4 linked regions of the Caenorhabditis elegans genome follow. The protein of the gene in region 1 purifies or fractionates together with the protein of each later gene. This does not show direct contact. Each region holds a gene or a part of one and is shown on either strand. Other genes may lie near its edges.

The links.
Region 2: the proteins of snr-1 (region 1) and ddx-15 fractionate together in Caenorhabditis elegans (co-fractionation; one large-scale study listed by BioGRID). This does not show direct contact.
Region 3: the proteins of snr-1 (region 1) and snr-7 fractionate together in Caenorhabditis elegans (co-fractionation; one large-scale study listed by BioGRID). This does not show direct contact.
Region 4: the proteins of snr-1 (region 1) and snrp-200 fractionate together in Caenorhabditis elegans (co-fractionation; one large-scale study listed by BioGRID). This does not show direct contact.

Annotation. Positions count from the first base shown.
Region 1 is NC_003282.8:17,085,157-17,090,635, forward strand, and holds snr-1 (Small nuclear ribonucleoprotein Sm D3), read left to right. Parts: upstream 1-2,892; 5' UTR 2,893-2,902; coding exon 2,903-2,978; intron 2,979-3,028; coding exon 3,029-3,156; intron 3,157-3,207; coding exon 3,208-3,414; 3' UTR 3,415-3,694; downstream 3,695-5,479. Other genes in the region: snx-13 (Sorting nexin-13), read right to left, coding at 79-536, 1,181-1,279, 1,331-1,572, 1,649-1,770, 1,819-2,020, 2,067-2,173; Y116A8C.43 (Lipoprotein), read left to right, coding at 3,695-3,865, 3,991-4,197, 4,249-4,326, 4,668-4,885, 5,439-5,479. UniProt on the Caenorhabditis elegans protein: Plays a role in pre-mRNA splicing as a core component of the spliceosomal U1, U2, U4 and U5 small nuclear ribonucleoproteins (snRNPs), the building blocks of the spliceosome.
Region 2 is NC_003281.10:5,587,324-5,594,425, reverse strand, and holds ddx-15 (Pre-mRNA-splicing factor ATP-dependent RNA helicase ddx-15), read left to right. Parts: upstream 1-2,707; 5' UTR 2,708-2,719; coding exon 2,720-2,775; intron 2,776-2,830; coding exon 2,831-2,927; intron 2,928-2,974; coding exon 2,975-4,562; intron 4,563-4,614; coding exon 4,615-4,975; intron 4,976-5,016; coding exon of another isoform or gene 5,017-5,017; exon of another isoform or gene 5,018-5,029; coding exon 5,030-5,147; 3' UTR 5,148-5,364; downstream 5,365-7,102. Other genes in the region: ucr-1 (Cytochrome b-c1 complex subunit 1, mitochondrial), read right to left, coding at 295-359, 426-555, 606-816, 869-986, 1,038-1,095, 1,145-1,387, 1,432-1,631, 1,681-1,897 and 2 more; F56D2.2 (RBR-type E3 ubiquitin transferase), read right to left, coding at 5,365-5,568, 5,617-6,001, 6,050-6,148, 6,197-6,288, 6,336-6,449, 6,498-6,650, 6,702-6,980, 7,035-7,102. UniProt on the Caenorhabditis elegans protein: Pre-mRNA processing factor involved in disassembly of spliceosomes after the release of mature mRNA.
Region 3 is NC_003279.8:2,723,959-2,728,797, reverse strand, and holds snr-7 (putative small nuclear ribonucleoprotein G), read right to left. Parts: upstream 1,785-4,839; 5' UTR 1,781-1,784; coding exon 1,652-1,780; intron 1,599-1,651; coding exon 1,494-1,598; 3' UTR 1,416-1,493; downstream 1-1,415. Other genes in the region: Y71F9B.6 (Cyclin N-terminal domain-containing protein), read left to right, coding at 2,147-2,269, 2,323-2,480, 2,532-2,659, 2,728-2,812, 2,891-3,040, 3,397-3,571, 4,631-4,839. UniProt on the Caenorhabditis elegans protein: Plays a role in pre-mRNA splicing as a core component of the spliceosomal U1, U2, U4 and U5 small nuclear ribonucleoproteins (snRNPs), the building blocks of the spliceosome.
Region 4 is NC_003280.10:12,733,238-12,739,904, forward strand, and holds the start of snrp-200 (U5 small nuclear ribonucleoprotein 200 kDa helicase), read right to left. Parts: upstream 3,674-6,667; 5' UTR 3,639-3,673; coding exon 3,200-3,638; intron 3,151-3,199; coding exon 2,328-3,150; intron 2,210-2,327; coding exon 1,072-2,209; intron 1,014-1,071; coding exon 606-1,013; intron 544-605; coding exon 1-543. Other genes in the region: pisy-1 (CDP-diacylglycerol--inositol 3-phosphatidyltransferase), read right to left, coding at 4,048-4,214, 4,267-4,526, 4,602-4,703, 4,956-5,089. UniProt on the Caenorhabditis elegans protein: Catalyzes the ATP-dependent unwinding of U4/U6 RNA duplices, an essential step in the assembly of a catalytically active spliceosome. Plays a role in pre-mRNA splicing.

The sequences.
Region 1 (5,479 bases):
TCATCAAAAATGGTGTTCTAAAGCAAAACTAAGCCAAAAAAACTGCAAAATCACACAAGTAGGACATTTCCAATGTACCTCAATGGCTAAATAAAGATCAATATAATTTTGACCGCCAGCTGATTTGAGAAATTCGCAGAACTGTGACAGAGCAATAGAATTCGTGAGAATAACGTGAAGTGGAAGCTGTACAAGTTGATCTCCATCTTCGCCAAATTTCGTGAGCAACGCGGAATCTTTGGATCCCAAGAAGTCGATTCGCCGCTGAACTAGATTTTCGACGAATTGTAGACTGGCTAGTTGTTGTTTAACGAAAGTATCCTGTTCTCCACCGGAATCCTTCCCTCTCATTACAATTTTTTCGTCAGCAATCGCTCGGAACACGGCTTCCAGCTCTTCGATGGATGTTGAACTCGTGAGACACGCCACAAAATCATCGGGTTTTGGTTCCACTTCACTGAGAAGCCAAACGATTAATTGAAATATTTCATTTGGATCGGAGAGGTAGTCCAGAGTAGGCAGAATCACTTTTCTTACTGAAAAAAAAAAATAATAACTAGATTTTTAAATGTTATTTTCGTTTTTTTATCCATTTTTCGCCAGCAAAGAGCGTTGCGAGACCTTCTATGTCCCTTTAAAAGTTGTGTAGATTTACGAGCACCGTGTACTATGCGAGGACAAGCGTTTTTTTCGGCAAAAATGTCTGAGATTTCCTATTTTCTGAAGAAAAATTGTGTGTTTCGATGGTTTTGTTGCTATTTTTTGAAAAATCGAAAAACTTTAAATTTTTGGATTTCAAAAAAGTTAACGAAAAATATTTTTTAGTTTTTTCCCCGATTTTTCGAAAAATAGCATTAAAATTTTTCGATTTTCAACAAAAAATCAATAAAAAATTATTTTTTCTATAATTTTTTTTATTATTTTAGGCAGAATTAAATTTAAAACGCAAAAAACCGTGAAATCCTGCTAGAAAATACGTTTTTCATGCTTGTCCACGAGTATACTCGTGGCTCGCAAATCTACACATCTTTTAAAGGGACATTGACTTTTTTTTCAGAAAAAAATTAAATTTTCCATCAAATTTCGGTCATTTTTTGTCTTTTTAGAAGAAAATTCGATTTAAAAATTGATTTTATTTTTTCAATTTTTCTCAATTTCCTGAATATCTTCCGACACTGACCAACAACTTCTCGAAGCAAGAATCTCAGCGGCCGACATCTAAAATCTTCCGGTGGCATTATTAAATAGAGAATTATATCGACAAGATCATGAAGATAGGCTGAAAAATCGGAAAAAATTGAATTTTTTCATCGAAAATCTCAATTTTTACCATTTTCATAATGCGGTGTAGTTGAAAGAAGATCTCTACACAACGATTTTTCCATTTCCAGCTCAAAATCAAAGAAATTGCTGAGCAATTCCGCTTCCAAATCTTCAGGGGATAATGTTTTATCTTTTTCCTTCGCTTGAAATGCAGTTCTTTCCTTAGCTTTCCGGAAAAGCCGTAAATGAGAAGCAAAATCGTCGACAACGTCACGCGTGAGCAATGGAACCCAATCAACCTGGCGGAGACTGGAAATTTGAGATTTTATTGATTTTTTTCCATTTTTTGTTTTATAAAATAAAATTTTATTAATGAGCTACACACCATTGTGTCAATGAGGCAATTGATCTTCGGGAGGTTCTCTTTAAGCTTTGTTCAAAAATATTATCATTTGAAAGTGTTTTATACCAAAAGCCGACGTAATCCCGTGTTATATTGCCGAGAATCTAAAAAAAAATATTTTTAATAACATTTCAGTCCACATAAATCCCTACTTGTTCTAAAACCAAATCTAATTGCGGTGAATTGCACATTGAATGCACCTCCACATATTGATTTTGCTCTTTGAGTCGTTTTCCATTTTTCAGCAGAGCCTCAATTCCCGCAGATAATTTTCCTTTTTGCAGATTTTCGGATAAAATTCCAGCGATTTCGTCATGTTTTTCGTGTCCCGTTTGATAGAAAATGTAGAGAAATCTGAAGGTATTCCAGTTTAAGGTTTTTCTAAAGAATTAAAGCTTACCCCGCTACGAAACAGAGGATACTGGCTGGAAGAACGATTAGACCGGTTGAACCGAATGTTGCTAGGAAAAGGACTACAGCAAGGAGAATATAAAGCCGATTTGACATTTTTCTAGAGAATTTTCCGATTTTTCTTCATATTTTACATAAAATTATGGAAATTCATCTGTAAAATCTGGTAAATAATTAAAAAATTCTATGCGCATTCCGTAAAACTAGTATCTCGGGGACAAGGGAACGTGAGATTTGAAATAGTTTCTGGCAGCTTTACAAATGAAAATTGCTGTATTTTTTTAGTATTTATAATTGATTAAGAATAATATAATAGTTTTCATTTAATTAAATATTTAAATTTGCATTTTACATAAATGCTAGTCTCCAATTTCGGCGTTCTTGCGTCTCCGGGAAGTTAACTTCATGAGGCCCTTCCCGCAAACGCGCCCCACTGCACACGCTGCGTGCTGCGTCGCGTGCCTTATTTTCGAATTTTATTCCCTTCATTTTTCATTTTGAGCTCTTCATTTTTCGTAATTTTTAGAAAGAAAAACCGTTTTATTTCTAGATTTTCTTCAAAATAAAGTTCTAAAACACATTTTTCTCATCTGGAAATCCATTTGTTGCCACATTTTTCTTGCAACGCGTGCAAATTCTAGAATTTTCCGAAAAAACTTCATTTTCGGGGTTTTATTCCTTTTTTGTCTATTATGCTCAGCATATTTCAAATGAGAACAAACTTTACCGTGAAAAGTGTGAAAATCTGAAATTTTAGGCGATTCTACTTCTTTTTTCTAACGTTTTCTCCCTTCAAGCCGAATCTACAGAATCAAAATTTTCAGAATGACTTCAGTTGGTGTCCCAATCAAGATTCTTCATGAGGCCGAAGGTCACATGGTCACGCTCGAAACCGTTACAGGTAATCATTTTCGAATTTCCCGTCGCTCAATAAATACTTTTCTATTCCAGGCGAAGTTTACCGAGGAAAACTTTCTGAAGCCGAAGACAACATGAACTGTCAGCTGGCTGAAACCGTTGTGACTTTCCGCGACGGAAGAAGTCATCAATTGGACAACGTTTTCATTCGCGGAAACAAGGTTTTTCACCATTTTTCTCTAAATTTCAGCTGTAAACCAATCAATTTCCAGATCCGATTCATGATTCTGCCGGATATGCTCAAAAACGCGCCAATGTTCAAAAATATCGGAAGAGCCCAGAAAGGAGCCATTGGAATGGGTTTGGGAGGTCTCGATCAGCGTGGAAGAGGACGTGGAACCGCTTTCCGTCGACCAATGGGCCGTGGAGGACCACGTGGAATGTCTCGCCCGGGAGGAGCTCCAACGTTCCGTGGATAAGCACAACACGGCGCAAATATAATCAATTCTCTGTATTTTTTCTCTCTCTCGAGTCCCCCATTCTTCCAGTTTCTCTTCTTTTCAAAGCGTGCGCAGACCGTTGAATTTGACGTGATCTCCTGCTTGTCCCGGCTCCGCACTTTGTTATTTGTTGAATCATACTTCATTTTTCATAAATTATTTTCCAGAAAAAAGACGACGACAAACTGGTTTCGGAGATTTCCCTGTAAGATTACCACAATTCCAAAGTGTGGTATTCGCCTAGAATATAACTGGCGAAATGGTAAATCATTCGCCAGTCGTCTTCTTTTTGTTCTCCTTATTCTTTTATTCGCATTTAAATGGAGCATTCGATGATGCAGAGCATTTTCCAAAAGGGATAGAGGATAGAGCCAAACTTTTGGCACGGGCAGACCAGTGTGTGCTAAAATATTTAGAGTTTACCGGCAAAGTGAGTAATTTTTCGCAAAAAATTGAGCGAAAAACTTGAAAATCCACGTTTTTTTTCGAGCCGCTCCGCTTGCTATTGCGTCGCGGTCGCGAATATTCTGTTATTTTTTTTATTTCTCTGTTCAGAAGCTTTCACATCTGCCGTACACTGTAAAACGATGTGCTCTCTCGGAATATTTCACTTGGGAAGAGTCTGGAACATTTTTTCCGTTTCAAAAATGCAATAATTTCGTGTTTTTCGGGGGAAATTCCCTCCAAATATTGAATAATACCGATTTTAAGATGCTCAATTGCAAATATTTGATTATCGATTCGAGGGAGAACCTCCGTGGAGTTTGTAGTTTATAGTCGAAGAAATGAACTTTTAAATTCTGAAATTTTCAGCTTGAAAATTATAAAAAAGTAGATGATCTTTCAAAATCACAACTAAACAATGCTCTGCTTCAATTTAAAGAAGAAAATGTAAGCTGAAAATACAAATTTAATTTAAAAATATTTTTGAAATCGAGGTGCAATCGCCCCCAACGCGAAAAGGTCTCGTTTTGGCGGGGAAACTGGGGATTCAAATATTTTGCGACCTTTTTTAGTCTTTTTTTTGTTGCTCTGACCGTTTTTTTAAATTATTTTTCTGCTAAAAATGTAATTTTTTCTGAAAATCGTCAAGAACAACTGAAAAAACGTAAAAATGTTTAAAAAAAACATGTGAAAACGTTTGAATGTCTAATTTTTGCCGCCAATACCCAACGAGATTCCGTGGAGCGCGATTGCACCAACCTTAATTTCGAAAAGGGCATGTTTTCCAGGTAATAGAGCATATTTTCATCTTTGAAATGAAAGAAATTGAAAATTATTTGGATAACCTTCTGAAAATTAGAAAAATATATTCCCTTATTGTATGCCAAATTACGATTCGTGTACCGACGTTTGTCGGGGAAGATGTGATTTGGCAATTTGCAGAGAATATTTTAAGAGATGATTATTATATTTTGTTGAAAATCACCAAAGAAGCAAGTTATATAGAGTAAGTTTGAATTTTCAAAAAAAAATTCAATTTTCTTTCAAAAGTAAAAAAAATCAGTTTTTATGATGAGAAAACCGAATTTTCAATAATTTCCGGTAATATTTCAACGGCACTTCTTAATTTGTACGCGCCTTTTGAAATCGAGGCGCAATCGCGCTCCAACGCGAAAAAGTTGGGTACCGTTAGGAACTGGCGGCAAAACGATAAATTCAAACGTTTTCAGTTATTTTTCGGCTTATTTTCGTTATTTCTCTGGTGGTGTTTTATAATTTTTTTTGTCAAAAAAATTCAATTTCGTCATAAAATGCATAAAAATCACTCAAAAAATCACAAAAAAGTCGAAAAATGCTTGATTTTCCCCGTTTTCGAGAATTTTTCGTATTTTCCGTAAATTTTTATGCCAAAAATCTGTTAAAAAAGTAATTTTGACGAAAAGTGCTCGAAAAACATTTGATTTTCTAGCTTTCCCGTCTAAAAGGTCCAATGTTCGGTGGAGCGCGATTTCCAAATTTGCATTTTTCTACGTCTCCATAATAACACGACATTTTTTCAGGTTCTACTTCTTCGCGAACAATGAATACCAATGTATGATGC
Region 2 (7,102 bases), on another chromosome or scaffold:
TGGGCAGACAATCTCATCAGGAAATCATTCAGATATTATAATTCTGCAGAAAATAATCGAGCAGATATACATTTTCTGGCACAATTCGTCAATTCATTCATTTTACTCCGAACCGTACAAACAAATAACGCTACTCTAAATTAAAATTAATTTTTGGAAAAAGAAAATAAATGAACAGCAAAAAGTTTTCTAAAAAAGTGTATCTGACAACAGATAGAGAGAGAGAGAGACGGTGAACGAACAGCGAAAAGTACATAGGGAATCCGAGATGAGGAAGACGTCATCGTTCACTGCTTACATTCTCCACCACGACATACCAGCGCGAGTAAGGGCGTAGTTGGGGAAGGCTTCTGTGCGACCTAGAAAAGAGAAATTGTTTGCAATTCTCATAATGTAAAAACAACAGCAAGTGGAAAACTACTCACCAACTCCGACAGCAGCAAGATCACGATCGTACACATGTCTTGAAATAGCCTCGCGGACAGCTCCAGCGTCAACCTTTTGAATTTGAGCTTCAAGTTCTGACAACTGTCTGAGATTTCCGGTGTAAAGAAGCTGAAAATAATGAAATAACTATCCATAGCATTTTCTGCAGAGTAACAAACCTCCTTAGCGTTAAATCCAGCCTTTTGTGTGTTGGTCTCGAGGTTCTGGTACAAGTTGGTTCTGAATTGGTTCTTGGCCATGGCGACTTCTTCTTCTGTGGCAGCAGAGGCCAAATGCTTCCATTCGTGAGCAACAGACTTCATGATTCCGCTGGTGTCGTTCAAGTCGTGAGCATCAGCAACAAAGTAGATTCCGAACAATCCAGTGTCTCTGAAAAAAAGAAAATAAAAATTTAAATAAGCTTGCAAAAAAAGATACTTACTTGTAGTTGATGTTGAAATGCTGGAGGTTATGGACTCCGTGGTCGTGTCCGATTTTTTGGACAAGTCTGGAAGCAGCTGTTCTGGATGTAGCGTGGGTCACATCCCATTGGCCTAAAACTCATCAAAATTACGGTTTGAATTGAAAAATTCACACAAAAGCCAACTTACCAATGAATTGATTGGCAATTTGAAGAGCGAGAGCATCTTTGTGGGCATATCCAACACCCTAAAAATGAAGTAAAATGAAAGACTGAACACACATTTATTATTTGTACCTCAACAGCGAAAGCAGCATACATGTGTGGGACATTATCGTTGCGGTATCTGTATTCAGATCCGGTGAATCGTGTTCCATCGACCTGTGGAACCTTTCGTGGGTATTCGTTGCTCAAGTCTCCGAAATATTTATCGGCGAGGCTTGAAACATTGGAAACTCCTCCTCCGACAGCGGACAGAACCATGCGCACTGGTCTGTAATGATCCTCTTGCCACTCCTTCAATTGTTGAGCAGAGATATTCTGAAAAAATAATCAACTTTATGTAAACCCAAATAAATACTTACTGGAATGCTCTCACTGGTTCCGAGAACGCTGAGAGCGAGTGGGGTGCCTTGGAATCCGGCAGCGTGGAGCATATCGAAGAGGACAAGCTGATGATAGTCATCGGAAGCTTCGAGCTCTTTGAGAAGATTAACTCTTTCGGTATCGATGGTTGAGGCCTCAAGCTTGCTGTTGCGGAGAACATCGGCGAGGATATCGACAACTGAAAATTTTGGAAAATTAACACAATTTTATAAGTTACAAATATTTACCTTTCTCAACATCTTGAGCTCCAGCTTGGACAAAAACTGCGGTTTGGTCACGCTCAGTGAACGAGTTGAGTTTTGCTCCGATAGCATTAAGCTCGGATTCGAGAGCAGCAGATGCTCTCTTTCCAGTTCCCTTGTGGATCAATCGCTCGAGGAAATGTGCGACACCGTTGTTCTTCTCGTTCTCAAAACGAGATCCGGTCTCGATCCAGACTCCCACCTACAATTTAAAACAAAAGAAATTTTAGAAAACTAGTGGGCAAAATTACGGTAGCGGTGGCGGATCCATTATCTTCGGTGACAACACGGAAGCCATTCTTCAAGGTGGTAACTTCAGCTTGTGGAGCGCTGGCAAGCACGTCCTTCACGGAGACAGCTGATGAAGCATTGCGAACCTGAAAATTAATTAATTTAATTAGATTTTCTACATTATCATCGTTGTTACGTTCTCCATGCGACCTGTGGGCATACAACTTTCAATTTTATTTTCAATTAAGAGTTTTTATTTCTCTTTTAGCAATCTCACAAGAAAATTACCTGGCTATTGAGAGCCGGACGCAAAGCAGAGCTGACGGCGAGTCTGAGAGCCATTCTCTCAAGTTTTCCCCTGTTCTCTGAAAATAAAAATATATAAATAGGATATTAATCGATAGATAAAAATTCAGAGAACATTATTTTAAATTGAAAAACTTGAAAAAATATATCTGAAACTCGAAAAGAAGCTGAAAACAACTAAAACCATCAAGCCGCCCAGCAGTGCAGAGACGCAGACAGCGGAATCGCTTCGAGACCCACCGAAAGTTTAAAGGCGCACCCGTAAATCGCTCCATACTTATTCCGAATATATTCTGCGAAATTCTGTCTTTTGTTCCCAATATCTCTATATTTGCTGATTTTCTCCTTTTTCAACTAGTTTTCTTAATTTGTCATACATTTAATCCATTTATCCTGCGCGTAGCTTTTCGAAATACCTAATATTTTCGTATAACGCTTTATAAAGCCACTTGAAACTCTAATTTTCCTATTGAAGGAGAAACTTGCGATGTCTTCGAGACACCGATTGGATTTAGATGGCAGCGGACGCGGAGACAGAAGAAGGTAAGTAAAATTGTTGCTTCCCCAGTTCAATATAATAATAATAATTTATTTTCAGATCTCCTAACCGCAGATCCCGATCCCGCTCCCGATCGCCACACAGACGCTCCTCCCCCGACCGGAAAAGACAGATTGGGGCAGTTGGAAATATGAAGGTATTTTTTAGTAAACGAATTTTTGTTTCTCATCTCCAAATTTACAGATCCAAATCAATCCATACAACAACCAGCCATTTAGTAACCGATATTGGGCAATTTGGGAGAAAAGAAGTCAATTGCCAGTATGGGAATATAAGGAAAAGTTTATGGAGCTGCTCCGGAACAACCAGTGCATCACTCTTGTCGGAGAAACGGGATCCGGAAAGACCACGCAAATCCCACAGTGGGCCGTCGAGTTCATGAAGCAGCAGCAACAAGGACAACCACCCGGTCAAGCGAGATTGGTGGCTTGCACACAGCCTAGACGGGTCGCTGCGATGAGCGTTGCGACAAGAGTTGCTGAGGAAATGGACGTAGTTTTGGGACAAGAAGTGGGATACAGTATTCGTTTCGAAGACTGCATCAGCGAACGAACTGTTCTCAAATACTGTACAGACGGTATGTTGCTGCGAGAAGCAATGAACAGCCCGCTCCTCGATAAGTACAAAGTCCTTATTCTCGACGAGGCTCACGAAAGAACACTCGCCACAGATATTCTTATGGGACTGATCAAGGAAATCGTGAGAAATCGAGCTGATATCAAGGTCGTAATCATGTCCGCTACATTGGATGCAGGAAAGTTTCAAAGATATTTCGAGGATTGCCCGTTGCTCAGTGTTCCCGGAAGAACATTCCCTGTTGAGATCTTCTTCACTCCAAATGCGGAGAAAGATTATCTAGAAGCCGCGATCAGAACTGTAATCCAAATTCATATGGTCGAGGAGGTTGAAGGTGACATTTTACTGTTCCTCACTGGTCAAGAAGAGATCGAAGAAGCTTGCAAAAGAATAGATCGTGAGATTCAAGCCTTGGGAGCAGATGCTGGAGCACTCAGCTGCATTCCGTTGTACTCTACACTTCCCCCAGCAGCACAGCAGAGAATCTTCGAACCAGCACCACCAAATCGACCGAATGGAGCAATCAGCAGAAAGTGTGTCATCTCTACAAATATCGCTGAGACATCATTGACTATTGATGGCGTTGTCTTTGTTATCGATCCTGGATTCTCGAAGCAAAAAGTGTACAATCCAAGAATTCGTGTCGAGTCGCTGCTTGTTTGTCCCATTTCGAAAGCTTCTGCTATGCAAAGAGCTGGACGCGCCGGAAGAACAAAGCCAGGAAAATGTTTCCGGCTTTACACCGAAACGGCTTACGGATCAGAAATGCAAGATCAAACATATCCTGAAATTCTTCGGTCGAATCTCGGATCTGTTGTGCTGCAGCTCAAGAAGCTCGGAACCGAAGATCTTGTGCACTTCGATTTCATGGATCCTCCCGCACCAGAGACATTGATGAGAGCGCTGGAACTGTTAAACTATCTTCAGGCGATCAACGACGATGGAGAGCTCACTGAACTAGGAAGTCTGATGGCTGAGTTCCCGCTTGATCCTCAGCTCGCAAAGATGCTTATCACATCCACTGAACTCAATTGCTCAAATGAAATTTTGTCGATCACAGCAATGCTCTCGGTTCCGCAGTGCTGGGTTCGTCCCAATGAAATGAGAACAGAAGCCGATGAGGCGAAGGCTCGGTTTGCACATATTGATGGAGATCATCTCACACTTCTCAATGTCTATCATTCGTTCAAGCAGAGTAAGTTGACTTTGTTTTTCTTTTTTTCAAATATTAGTTTCGCATATTTCAGATCAAGAAGATCCGCAGTGGTGTTACGATAACTTCATCAACTACAGAACTATGAAAACTGCCGACACAGTCCGCACACAATTGTCGCGTGTTATGGACAAGTACAATCTTCGACGTGTCTCAACAGACTTCAAATCTCGAGACTATTATCTCAACATCAGGAAAGCTCTTGTAGCTGGATTTTTCATGCAAGTCGCTCATCTGGAACGAAGTGGACACTACGTGACGGTGAAAGATAATCAGCTCGTCAACCTTCATCCATCCACAGTTCTCGATCATAAGCCGGAGTGGGCACTCTACAATGAGTTCGTGTTAACCACAAAGAACTTCATCAGAACTGTAACTGATGTGCGCCCTGAATGGTGAGTTAATTTGCAAATTATATTATTCAAAACCTAACTAGATATGCGTTTCAGGCTACTTCAAATCGCCCCTCAATACTATGATCTCGACAACTTCCCAGATGGAGACACGAAACGGAAGCTGACTACTGTGATGCAGACCCTGCAGAGAAACGCTGGCAGAGGCTATTGATGCCTCCGAATCATCTGATCTCATTTCCCCAAACCTCTTTTATCCCTATTGCCCCTTGTCAAATTTTTTGATTGTTTCTATTTATTTTTTGTTTATTTCTTACCCCTTTCTTTTAATTCTATTTTCACTTTTAAATCAATCACCAAATCTAAAAGGATGAACTATTCATTTTATTTGACAATTAATCCGTAAATTTAGAGAAAACCGTAAAGTTATGTTAATTAAAGAAAAGCTCGTCAAAATGTCCTTCTTGCTCTAACCAATCCTCCGCATCAATATCTTCGTCGGATTCAGGATACTCGACGGTCTCATCACTGTCATAGTCACTACCGTCGTTAAATGCCATATCGAAAAGAAGATCGTCATCGTTATCTAGCAAATCGTGATGAACTCCTTCGAACAGACGTCCAGAGCATGATCCCTGAAAATGAAAAATACATTTCTTACACAATTCTAAGAAAAAACCAACATCTCCCTGAAAATGCTTATAAGGATCTTCCTTGTCAAGAGTTTCAGAGCACAACCAACAGAAGTAGGTGTCACACTTCGTACAGTGCATCTTGTGGCATCCTTCATTCTTCTCTATGCTCACCGAGCACTTGGGACACGGTTTGCTGTTCGAATCCAGCCATTCCTCATTGAGGAACCGCTCCACAAGCTCCTCGACACGCTTCTCTCCTCCAAATTGCCTGCACATTTCAGCCTTCTCAGCTTCATCTCCATCCTTCCATCTTTTGACAAGAAGCTCTTTGTCTCCTTTCTTCCATTTGCAGCGTTCTATTCCGTGGAATGTCTGCTTACACAGATTGCAGAACGAAAAGTTACAGTAGGAGCATTCGGCCAGGAAGCGTTGTCTGAAATGTTCTTCTTTTTTACATTTATTTTTATATTTTAAACTATACCTATCCGTGACGTAGGCGACTTTTTGACAATTCTCTCTGGGACACTCCACGGTGTCTTCCATCTCTCGAATCGCCTTCTCCAGCATAATCGTCTCGTATCTGGCGGAAATTCAAATTTGGATTTTTTTTTTTGGAAATGTATCTCACTTTGCATATAAATCATCTCCGAGTGCCTCCTTAACCGTATTTTGTTGTGCTTCACTCTTGCATCCTTCTGCTAGACACTGCATGGCTTTTGACTGTAAATGATCCAATTTTTCCAAAAAAAAAATCGATTGGATCTTACCACAACACCTTTCGATATTGTACGATAATAATCGAAAGTACATTGTTTGCAGAAAACGTGAGAGCACGGCTGGAATTTGATGCAATGTTGGCCCATTTGAGAGTCGTAGCATACCTGGAAGATTGAAAAAATAGTATAATTTTATAACTACGAAAAAATTACTTCACAATCGAAAAGTGTATTGACAAAGTGCTCTTCAGCAGCTTCTTCGCCTTTTCCAAGAATTTTCTTTTTCAGCGATTCAATAGTTTCTCCATTGTTTTTCAGCGCACACGCCTCGTTCAGATTGATGATTTTTAGGTGAGATTGGTCTATCTGAAACTTATTTTTATATATTTAATTTGTTAAAAAGAACAAAAAACTAACCGAATCAATTATCGTTTGATAGCACATAAAAAGCACCTCCATCATCTGGTTTTCCTCGCAAATCCTTGCCAACTCGGTTTCACAAGATGTCATTTGTTCCTGATTCATCCAATAACTTTCCAGTTCAAGTTTTGGTGATGATACTGAGGGATAATCATTTGGAAGATGAAATTTCAATCGGATTGGTGGAAGAATGTCTAGGGGGATGGAAAAATGATCGCTGGAGTCAGACGTTCCTTCAATTGTGACTTTTGGATCGGATAATGTGTCAAATCCTACCTGAAATCAAGAAAAAATTTAATAATAAACTTCTTTATACGCTCAATATTCTACTTCAATTATTCCCCGAATTTCTGCATTTTTATCCGCCCAATCACTGATTCTCGTCAATTTATTCTCCC
Region 3 (4,839 bases), on another chromosome or scaffold:
TGTGCGTGAGTGATTTGTCATTGAAACAACTTCAGAATGACATAGTGCCACGGAGGAGACGGGAGGAGAGAGAACAAAGTACAAGTGATTCGCGCCGGAGATCAGATCAAAATAATTTGAATTGATTTGAAATGTTCACCAGAAAAATTGTGGGTCTGCATTTTTAAAAGACGGCGTAAATGGGAATTATTACAAAATAAAAAACGCGGAATCATAACAGAATTAATTTTTTATTTTTAAAATCGGGATTTTGCAATTTTGGCTAAATTCCTTTAAAAAATGAACGATCAATCAGTTGGAGTGTGGAGAATTCAGCCAAAATTGAAAAAAATCGCGTTTTTTTTATTCGGATTTTATATTATTTCGCGATTTTCTTCCGGTTTTTCCTGAATTCGAGTCAAAACATTGGATTTTCTGAAGCTTTTGAAATTATTCGACTTGAAAAAAGGTGATTTTTCCTAATTATCACTGAAAAGCGTTCAATTTTCAAAAGAGAACATCGATAATTTTCGGTTTTTCTCAGCAAAATGTGAAATCGAAGTAGAAAACTCTTGTTCAAATCCAGATCAGGTTTGGGGATTGGCGCCAATTTTTCAAAATGACCTATTGTGACATGTTGATTCATTTAAAATTGATGTGAAATTATAGAAAATCACTTGATTTATCTAAAACAAACATTTATTTCAGTCGAAACACTTGAGGAAGAGCTCAAAAATGGCCTGAAATTAGCAAATTCAGGCTATTTTTCAGCATTTTCTCGCATGTTTCAACTGAAATGGGTGTTATTTTCAGATAAATCGTCTGATTTCTATATTTTGGCGAGAAATCAAGCGAATTCACTGAATTCCGGCTGAGAATCTGCCGCGTTTTGAAAATTGATATTTCAACTCTTCGACGGCTGCAGCCACAAGAGTACGGAAAGATGAGAAAGCACATCTCGTACAGCTTTCGGATGATGATAGGCGTGTGTGTGGAACATTTTTCTGTTTTGAAAGAAGAAAATAGGTCGGCAGAAAAAGAGATAAGAAGTGGGGAAAGAGTATTCTTTTTTGCTGCTGTTGTGCCGAGTAAGAGTAACGAGAAGAATAAAGAGAGAAAAATGTGGAGAGCGTCGTCGACCGCACATAGTGGAAAGAGAAGAGGGATACACAAGTCTCTCCGTGTTTTTGTTACTCTGTTTCGTGCCTCTCTTCAAAATGAACACTATTTCGTTCAATTTGAGCCGTGGAAAAACAAAATGCTGAAAAAAAGCTTTACGATTGATTTTTTTTATGCCTGCAATAATAAAACATAACTTTTGGTACATTTGTTTGTGAATTGATTCTATTTGCGAAGTTCTTATCTATACGAAATTCACGTGAATCAGAGATGAGAAGTGGGTTTTGACCACGTAGTTATCAAAAATTATCAAAAAAAAGGTTCAAAAATTTAATATCAAAATTTGAAAATGAAAACATTGAGAAAGTGACAGGAAATTGTGGAGATCGAAAAATCTAGGAGATTCTCTCCTTGGGCTCCATGATGACGACGGAGTTTCCGCGAATGACAGTCATGCCGAGGTTGACGGATCCTCCGTCCTTTTGGTACTCGACAGCTTCCTGCAATATTAAATTTTAGAATAAATTAGACAAAAACGGAAAAAGAAACATACGTCGATGACCATGTTCATGAATGGATCGAAACCGCGGAGGATTCCAGAGACGCGACGGTTTCCGTTGAGCTTCAAGTCCATCTCCTTGTCCATGTACTTTTTGAGCTCTGGTGGATGTGTCTTACTCATTTTTCTGAAAAATTGAGAATTTGCAGGGGGAAATGAAAATGAAGAATGGAAAAATCATCAAAGAAACAGATTTTACTTAAAATAGAAAATAAAGCTCATTTTTCAACTTCCACCTATCGAAAATTCAGATAATACATTAATTATAACATTTTTTAACTAATTTTTCAAAGAATAAACATGATAATTATCAGGAAAATTGGATGAAAAAGGCTAAAATCGACGAAATTATTTTTCGAAATTCGAATAGTACGCAAACACCACGCTTGGTACACCATAAATGACGACAAGTTGCAGACGCTTGCACACCGTACTCACACAATTCTTATCGGATTTCCGAGCTTTTTCTTTTCGTTTTTCCAATTTTAGATGGTAAAAAAGAAGAGTAACTATCATATTCTCGTCGCACAAAATTTCTTATCAAATATCAGTGTTGATGGAAGCCACAATGACACAAATCTTCGAATTTTCCAAACAAAAGGCCTTCCGAAGGTGAGAATCTTGGTTTTTCAGCGATTTTCGTAACTAATTGATAATTTTTTCAGATATCTCCAACGGAAAAGAAGTTTTCAAACGGCGCAAGCTCCACAACCACCATCCGCAACAATGAATCAGTGATCTCACTCGGAACATCCGCTTCACTCGGAGAACGGCTAAGCTCGTCGAATTTGCCGCAGGAATACGCGGAGACACCACAGAAAAAGTGAAAATTAGTTGAAAATCAATATAATTAATTAATTTTCTCTATTTATAGAACTTCAATCTTCCGAAGAATCGCGAAAATCATGAGCTCCGACGACGTGATCTATTCAATGACCGCCACAAACAGTAGATCTCCGATTCTTGAAGAAGGCGTCGGGAGAGAAGATAGTGGGCTGATTGGTGAGCTGGCGAGCTTATAAAAGCTTACAAAACTTGAAATAAAATAAATTAATTCAAAATTTTCACAGAATTTCGCTCAGAATCACCATCTTGTTCTTCAAATCAGTTCAGTTTTCTGAGAAGGCTCAAAAGCACCATTACCCATGCAGATAGGTGAGTTCAACCATCATAAAATCCTCTAAAATCCCCCACACTAACCGTTCCGTGTTGCGAACTAACCCACATTTTCAGATTTTACATCTGCACCTCGACGAATGGCCAGCCTCTGGCAGTTTTCTCGTATATCTCGCCGAACAGCGACTACGTGGATCCGCTGGCGCCGATTTTCGCCAACACAACCGTCAATAAGAAGAAATTCCGATCGAAATCGATTTTTGGAAGGTTTAGAATTAACATCTCCTCTATAATTTATATCTTCTACCTAATTTTCCCCGAAAACTGGCAATTATCTAACAAAATTTCACAAAAAAAGCGCAGGAATTCAGAAATTTCGGCTATGCGATCTTAAAGGCACATGGGTTTATTCAGCTGTGCATCGACGCGAAAAGACAGCATGTGGTAGTTTTTTTTGTTAAATTTTTCAGTTTTCAGACCGAAAAAAAGGAAAACAACGCAAATTTTCAGCAGAAAGTAAGAAAAAACGCTGCAATTTGCTAAAAATCCGTGCGCCTTTAGGTCAAAATCTTGAAAAAATACGATAAATTCCCATAATTTCACCTTATAATCCAATTTTCCAGCTCGGATCGCATGCGGCATCAGGCTCACTTATCAACAGAAGAGCTGCGGCCATTTGTCTTCCGAGACGCTGAAGATCAAGTAATTCTGGGGCAGATTCGCCGAAAGCGGAATCCTTCGCCGTTTTTCACGCTGTTCGACAAGTCGCCCGCCTCGATTTCCAGGAAAGAGCGGAGGGTGAGGCTTTGAATTTTGAATTTTAAGATTCAAAATCCGCGGAAAAAAGGCGAATTTTAGCTAAAATCTTCAATTTTACCGAGTTTTTCGTGTCGTAGCAGGCGAAAATTCGTATTTTTGCAAATTTTGCTCGTTTATTTCACTTTATATCGTTGATTTTCGTACTGTTTAAAGATGGAGTAGCGCCAGTGAGGAAATTGCTTTAAAACATGCCTATGGGGCCACAATGGCCGAATATCATGATAAAAAATTTTTGAAAAATGTTCTAAATTTTACATGATTTTTTGAAAATTGAAAAAATCTCAGTTTTTGCCTAATTCCTATTCGAATTTCCGCCAATTGGATTTGTTCGATTGAGCGCGCTTGCACGTTTTTAAATTTATTTATTTTATTTTTTGTTATTTTCCACCGATTTTTAATGTTTTCGGTGTATTTTTGCTCGAATATTAGAGAAAAAGTCAAAATGATTGCAAATTTTCAATTAAAAAGCACTCTTACAGGCGTAAATCAGTGAAATCAATTAATTCAGGTTCGAAATCGTTTAAAAGCGTTACTTTTTGATTTTTACGCCTGTTTGCTTTTTAATCAAAAATTTGCATTTATTTTGACTTTTTCTCTAAAATTCCACCAAAAATACACCGAAAACATTAAAAATCGGTGGAAAATAACAAAAAATAAAATAAATTAATTTAAAAACGTGCAAGCGCGCTCCATCGAACAAATCCAAATGGCGGTAATTCAAATAGGAATTAGGGGAAAACTGAGATTTTTTCAATTTTCAAAAAATCATATAAAATTTAGAACATTTTTCTGAATTTTTTATCATGATATTCGGTCATTGTGGTACCATAGGCGTGTTTTAAAGCTATTTCCCCACTGGCGCTACTCCACCGTTAAGGTCTGTAATAATGGATTTATGAAACTTAAAAACTGGCAAAATTGAAGATTTTCACTAAAATAAACCTTTTTTTCGGAATTTTTCGTTCACTTGAGCAGATTTTGAGTCTTAAAATGTGAATTTTAGGTGAAAAGTTGATAAAAAATCGAAAATTTTTACAGGAAAGCTTCCGAAACGGCGAAACCTCGGAGGAAATGTTTGCGGAAACCATCGAAGTTCCACAAGCCGTAAATCGAGATTCAAGCTATGAACGTGGAACTTCAATCGATGAAAAATGCGATTTAGACGCCAGCCGATCAGATGAACCATCATCAGAAGTCATCGATGAGTACGATCCGATCGCATTTTCCGAGTTGGGAATCGGAAAACG
Region 4 (6,667 bases), on another chromosome or scaffold:
TCCCCATTGCCGTTGTGTAACCATCTTGCAAAGAGTGAGCACCTTCTGAGCGAGCCCAGCCCAACCTCTCCATAGCACAATCTCGAAAAGAGCTCTGAAGAGTCGTCCGGCACTCTGAGCCACGAAGACCATATCCGCCTGAAGCGCGAATCCTTCGAGCTTCAACTGTGAGATATAGGCTTGAAGAAGGACATTCGTCTTCGCCGACGCTTCATCCAGGTTCTCCTTGATCGGAATCGGCGCGTGCTCTGCCATCTTCTGAAGTTCCAGCTTCTCCTCATCGCGAACCGACAGCAACTTGAATTCGGAGCTCATCGAGAAAATTCTGAAGAGATCGATATCCGAGCACGTCTCGACCAGCAGCTTGTTGTAGGTTTGCATCGACTCGTATGTGCAGTAGAAGTGAGAAGCGATGCGCCCGAGCTCGGTGGCCTGAATGATTCCGCTTCGCTTGTCATATTTGATGAGTCCGGCCTTGTCCAGAAGCACGCAAGCTGTGTGGATGAGATCGGCACGACGTTGTTCTAGAAGAGGATCGGCGCGCTGAAAATTGGAGAATTTTAGGGTTTTCTATGAAAAATGCTAAAATTTCAAGCTTAACCTACCGCTTGCTCATGTGTAATTCCATAAAGCGTCGGATTCTTCAACATTCTCACAAAAAGGAAAGTGTAACCCAACCAATTCGTCGCCTCCGACACACTACTGACAGTGCCGAGCACAACCTCAGCGTTGAGCATATCAGTGAGCCGTGAGACCATCTGCGACTCGACAGGAAGCTGTTGATTCATCAGCGAGAGATAATACTGGAGCTCCGAGTGATTTGTGATGAGAATTCCCTCTCCGCGATCATCGTACTGTGGACGTCCGGCTCTTCCGAGCATTTGCATGATGTCGAGTGCTCCGAGCTCTGTCCAACGTCCTTTTTCCGGGTTATAGATCTGAGTTCCCTTGATGATTACAGTATGAGCCGGCAGATTGACTCCCCAAGCGAGAGTTGCAGTCGAAAAGAGCACCTGAAAAATAATATTTTGAAGATTTGAAATATTTTCGGGAAATTTTCGATTCCCCTACCTGAATATGCCGATCAGCGAACAAATCCTCGACGAGTGTACGATCAACTCTGTTCATTCCAGCGTGATGAATAGCGAATCCATACGGCAAGAGGTCCTTCAAATCCAAATTCTTCGCCTGCTCGGCCTCGGTTCTCAGGATTTCTGTGCTCGCTGAGCCCTCACGCATGAACGCCGACAGCGTGTCCTTCTCGAGGCACGCGTCACGAATCGCTTTCGCGGTTTTCGCAGTTTCCTTTCGGGAATGCACAAAAACGAGGACTTGGCTCTTTCCGGCGTGCTCCATAATCTTGTCGTACACCACTTCGTTCATCGCCTGGAACCTCTTCAAAGCCTTCTTCTCAGTAACTCCAATATATTGTTGCTCGAGGGGAACTGGACGATAGCTGTTATCAAAGAAGTGCAAATGCTCAGGCTTCACTCGCAAGAACGTCGCCACATCTTGATAATTCGGAAGAGTTGCTGAAAGTCCGACCAGTCGGCACTCATCGTGATTCTGCTCCATTTGACGAATCGTTCTGACGACGATCGACTCCAACACCGGTCCACGATCATCGTGAAGCAGATGGATCTCATCAATGATCAACAGCCGAACCATCTGGTTATAGGCTCTCTCTCCGCCTTTTCGCGTCACCACATCATACTTTTCCGGCGTACAAACGATCACTTGTGTCGCCATGAACTGCTCTTTGCTCATTTGAGCATCTCCGGTCATTTCGCCGACAGTGATTCCGAATGGAGCAAGACGTTTTGAGAAGCTTCCAACCATCTCTTGAACCAGTGACTTCATCGGAGCAATGTAGACAATCTTGAACTCATCGAGCTTCACACTTCCATCCTCTGCCAAGTGGTTTCCGATTTCTTGGAGCATCGTGAGCAGCGCCACGTTCGTCTTTCCAGCTCCAGTTGGAGCACAGAGCAAGAGATGCTCTTTGGATCGAAGAGCTGAATCACAGAGTCGGGATTGGATCCTGTTCAGCGACTTGTAGCCGTCGAAAGCCGGTTGGGCCCATTTCGGGAGCTCTGAGACACTGACGAGCTTCTCTCCTTCAGCAAATGGTCGTGGTTTGAGGGCTGGTACGTGGATTTCTTCGTAGGACTTTTTCTGGCGGCGGTAGGATCCGTCGGGGAGCTCGCATCTGCAAAATTGAGAATTTTAGGGTTTTTTGGGAATGTGGACTTTTAAAGTGCATAATGAATCAAATTTCCTTAATTTTCTAATGGAAAATCGTACTTTTAAAATAAAATTGTATTTACCTTTTATTGCTCATCAAATGAGATCCTTGACTGAACGTGAGATCGTTTAGATCCAACATCTTGCGGCCCGCCTGCCACTGTCCCGCACTGATGGCTTCATTTGCTGCTGTGGCGGCCTTCTTCGACTTCTCCGCGTCTCGTTTCGACTTTTCCACCTGCACAACAGATCCCTCATCAGTCTCCTGAAGAAGTGCAAGAATCGGATGAAGCTCTGGACGAGATCGCATATCATCTTCGATTTGGAGACGCTCCTTCTCGTTCGCCTGACGCAAAAGTGTACAGTAGAGGATCATAAGACGATTCTGGCGAAGGCACTTGATGAACTCGAACTGATCGAAGCCTAACAGCAGGACAAGCTGATTCTCGGCGTCACGATCGTCGGCGGCGTTCTTGAGAATTCCGATGACTTCCGTTTGCTTCTGTTGGGCGATCAGAGGATCTTTGAAGTACTTGGCGAGCGATCTTTGGATCCAATGAGCGTCGATGTCACGTGGATGAAGAATTCCTCGTGCTTTTTGCTCATCTTCCGTCAAATGACCATCTCCTTTGAGTGTTGCCGTGTAATCTGTATCCACACCTTCTTCCTCTTCACTCTCCTCCTCACTATCACCTTTGATCTCATTAACCATCCCACCGTCATCTTCTTCCTCATCCGAGTCGAACTGCACATTTACACCCTCATTCTCGTAGATGTCTCCATCGCCTTCAGGCTTATTCTCCTCTTCGATCGAAAAATCGCTGATCTTCTTCGATAAGTTGATGAGAACTGCGATACGATCGTCGGTGAGCGGTCCCAGAAGAGCTTCCACTTCTTTCTTCTTCTCTGAAAAAAAAATATAAATTTTATTGAAAATCTTCGATTTTCACCTCACCTTTATCTCGGAATTTGTCGTTTTTCAGCGTGAGAAGCACCTCGTCAGCGGCTCCGCACAGAACCTCGCGTGGAACATCGCCAAGTGCGTCCAAAATGAAAGACAAAATCACTTCATAAGTCTGCTTCGTCTCCTGGGTTCTGGGCTTGTAGGCTCCCATGAGCTCATTATTGTCGACAAGGACATTCCGGCCGAACTGTTGTGCTTTCTCGTCGTCCTTCTTCTTTCTCTTCTTCTTCTGATCCTGCACCGGCGCTTTTCCCTTGATCGCCCGGTCACCCATCTTCATTTTGCGCATCTCCTTATCCGTGATCGGCAGCACCTCGCCAGTCGGCTCCTCTCTGCCACGCCGATCCGTCAGATTGTAGTCGACCGACAGAACCAAGTTGGAGTTCTGCCGGTACTCATACTGCTGGATTCGGGCTAGCTCGTCGGCCATTGTAGTTTGTAGTCAACTCGGGATAGTCGAATATCCTGCAAAAATCGTGGGATTAAGGTTAAAAAAATCAAAACAAGAAATAAAAATTGAGAGAAAATAGATAAAATCGGCTGGCTGAAAACCAATTCGAATTGAATAATAAATGGAAAATAAAATAAACAAAATAAATATTATTTTACAGAGTAAGTACATCGGGAATTTGCGAAAAAAAAAATTACGGGGAAAAAAATTACAGAGAAATATGTTCAAATTTGGAATTAAATGGAAATCGGAAACATTTTCCTGAGACGAGAGCACTAAAGGACTAAAGCTAAGCGTAAAGCTCGTGAATTAAGTAGTGGGGAATGTGTATACAAAAGCTCATGGGGAATCAGAGGAGAATCTTGGAGACTTCGGGGAGATCCGGAGATCATTGGGCCTTCTGAGCAGCCTCAACACGGAGCTTCACATCGTGAGCAACGACCATCTCGGCGGCAGTGTACAGATGGACGACGGAGATGGCGGACTTGACGAAGGCAATCGGGAAGGCGATGAGTGGGAAGATCGACATGAAGTGGAAGTTGAAGATCAGTGGTCCTGAAAATTAGAGGAATTAATAAATTATAGCAAAAATAAATCAAATATTTACCAGCCCAGAACGCGCGAATGTAGAGCAAAATGTAGAAAGCCTCATTTCCGCCGCACATGAATCCGAGGAACAATCGATCCGTGTAGTAGAGGTTCAGAAGCCAATTCGAAGACTGCTTGTGGCTCGTGGCACCGGAGAGATCAGTGGCGTGAAGGTGAAGCCAGTGAGATGCGATGTCGATTACGGCCGACAGTTGAAGCAGGAACAAGTGATCCGGGTAGAACTTGCAGAGCGCCATCACCAAGGCCAGCAGGGCGCAGCTGAAAATATGAGAATTTTACCGAATCCAATTTTTTTCTCGAATTTTCCAGCATATTTGAGAAATTTTAACGTACCGATCGGTGAGCTGATCGAGCATTGCTCCAAATCGGCTCGATTGATTGTAGGTCCGTGCCGCCCATCCGTCAAACGCGTCGAGTCCGGCGCTGAGTGCATAGCTGAAATTATGAGAAATTTTAATTACGAAAATCTAATTTTCAGGACTTTTCTTCTGAAAAACCTTGTCAGATGGCATTGTAACTCTTCAATTATGGGGGAAAATTGAAAAGAAACCTGGTCACCTTGATTTCTTTACCATGCATCGCAAAAATACTCGACATTTCAGTGAAAAAGAGATGAAAAGTAGTAGTAAACATGGATATTAGCTAATTTTTGATGCAAAAATCGATTTCCAGCTCGCCAAAACTCACCAGAACATTGCACACCATGGCGCTGACGACATGTAGTACATGGCCAAAATGGCGAGTACTATGCGTCCATAACCGATGAGATTCGGGTAGAATAGCCACACATTGTTGTTGTTCTCGGCGGCTGTCGGTTCCATTTTAAGCTGAAAATATTGTTTTTGAATAAATGAGAACGAGAAATCGATTGAAAACACGGGAAAACGAAAAAAAGCGATAAAAAATGCCTTGACAACGGTCCATCTGCTCCAAAGCAAGACATTTTCGAAAATGGGAAGAGAGCGGAGACGCAGATGGTTGGAGATGAGAGAAGAGCTAGAAATTGTTTATTCTCGCTTCATTTGGCTAGCTAATAAGATGGAAAGCTTTTAAGGCAAAAATGTAGGAGTTGGAAGCGTAAATGAGGAGAATTAATGGGAAAAATTAAGAGAACTGGGATTTTTTTTCGAGAATCAGTTTGCATATGGCCGAAAAACTTGTTTTTGCAGCAAAATCAGCTAAATATTCAGCATAGGAACACGCTTCAATAAGAAAATATCAAAAACCTCTCAATAAGTCCACAGAATCGTCCGATTACTAGAATTCCAGCGAAATAGTTAACTATTGCTCTTCCCAGCGATGCAATGGTCCTTGTCACACAATTTATACTTTAAAAACGAATAAATCTCACAATTTAGAACATTTTTGAGCTAAATTATTCAACAAACTGCCGGAAAACACTAAAAATCCAATAGAAAAACCTCAAAAAATGAATTTCGAAAGTCCCGCCAATTGTCCGAGAGAAGTACACGAGAGGCAAACACTCGTGCGCAACGGGATATCGGCAGTGGGAAAATGCATGCGCCTTTAAAAAATTAATCTATTTCGTGAGGAATTAACTCAAAACAAGCTGAAATTGGTTGATAAAAAGCAGAAATGTGATAGCAAATCATGAAAAATCGAAGAAAAAAAAAATTTCAATTAAAATTTCGACAAATTTAACGAGAAAACTTTTACGAAGTGAATAATTACCGGAATTCCGCCCGGAAAAATCAAAAATTTGAAGTTTTAAACTCATTAGGTGGCTCCAGATGAGCTAAATGGCCTAAATATGAACGCAAGGAACGAATACAGCAAATTGAAAATAGACAAGAAACTGGGGCGATCAACGACAAAATGGCTGAAAAAGCGTTAAAATTGGTGAAAATTTCAACAAAAAATCCCAAAAAGCGGCACGTCGAACGGAAAATTATTCAAAAATGATGACAAAAACAAGATAATTCTCGAAAAAAAAAATCAAAAATTGGCGCCTAATTTTTTTGCGCGCGCTCACAAGCCATTATTAATTTAGGTCAAATTTTCCTGGCTACTGTAGTTCACAAAATACGCAGTATGAACTCAATGCGTTATGTTTTACGCGCATAGTTTTTTGTTTTTTTTGTTTAACTTAAATTATATTTGATTAATTAATTAACACCCATTTAAAATACTCATATTTGCCCAATGTGCAGAAATATCACAAAAAAAAAAGAGAAAAATCTGTGAAAAACCAGTTGAACGTTTTAAAAATCAGTACTTTTAGTTTCAGTAATTTCCCCCATATCCACTGTTGTTTAAAAAAAAATTATAAACATCGAATTTATTAATAATCTGTACAATCAAGTTTTATATTAACTATTATTTGAAAAGTCTGCAGTCCGCGCTGTGCAGCAAGGGTGTCAATTCCCGTGTCCCGTTTG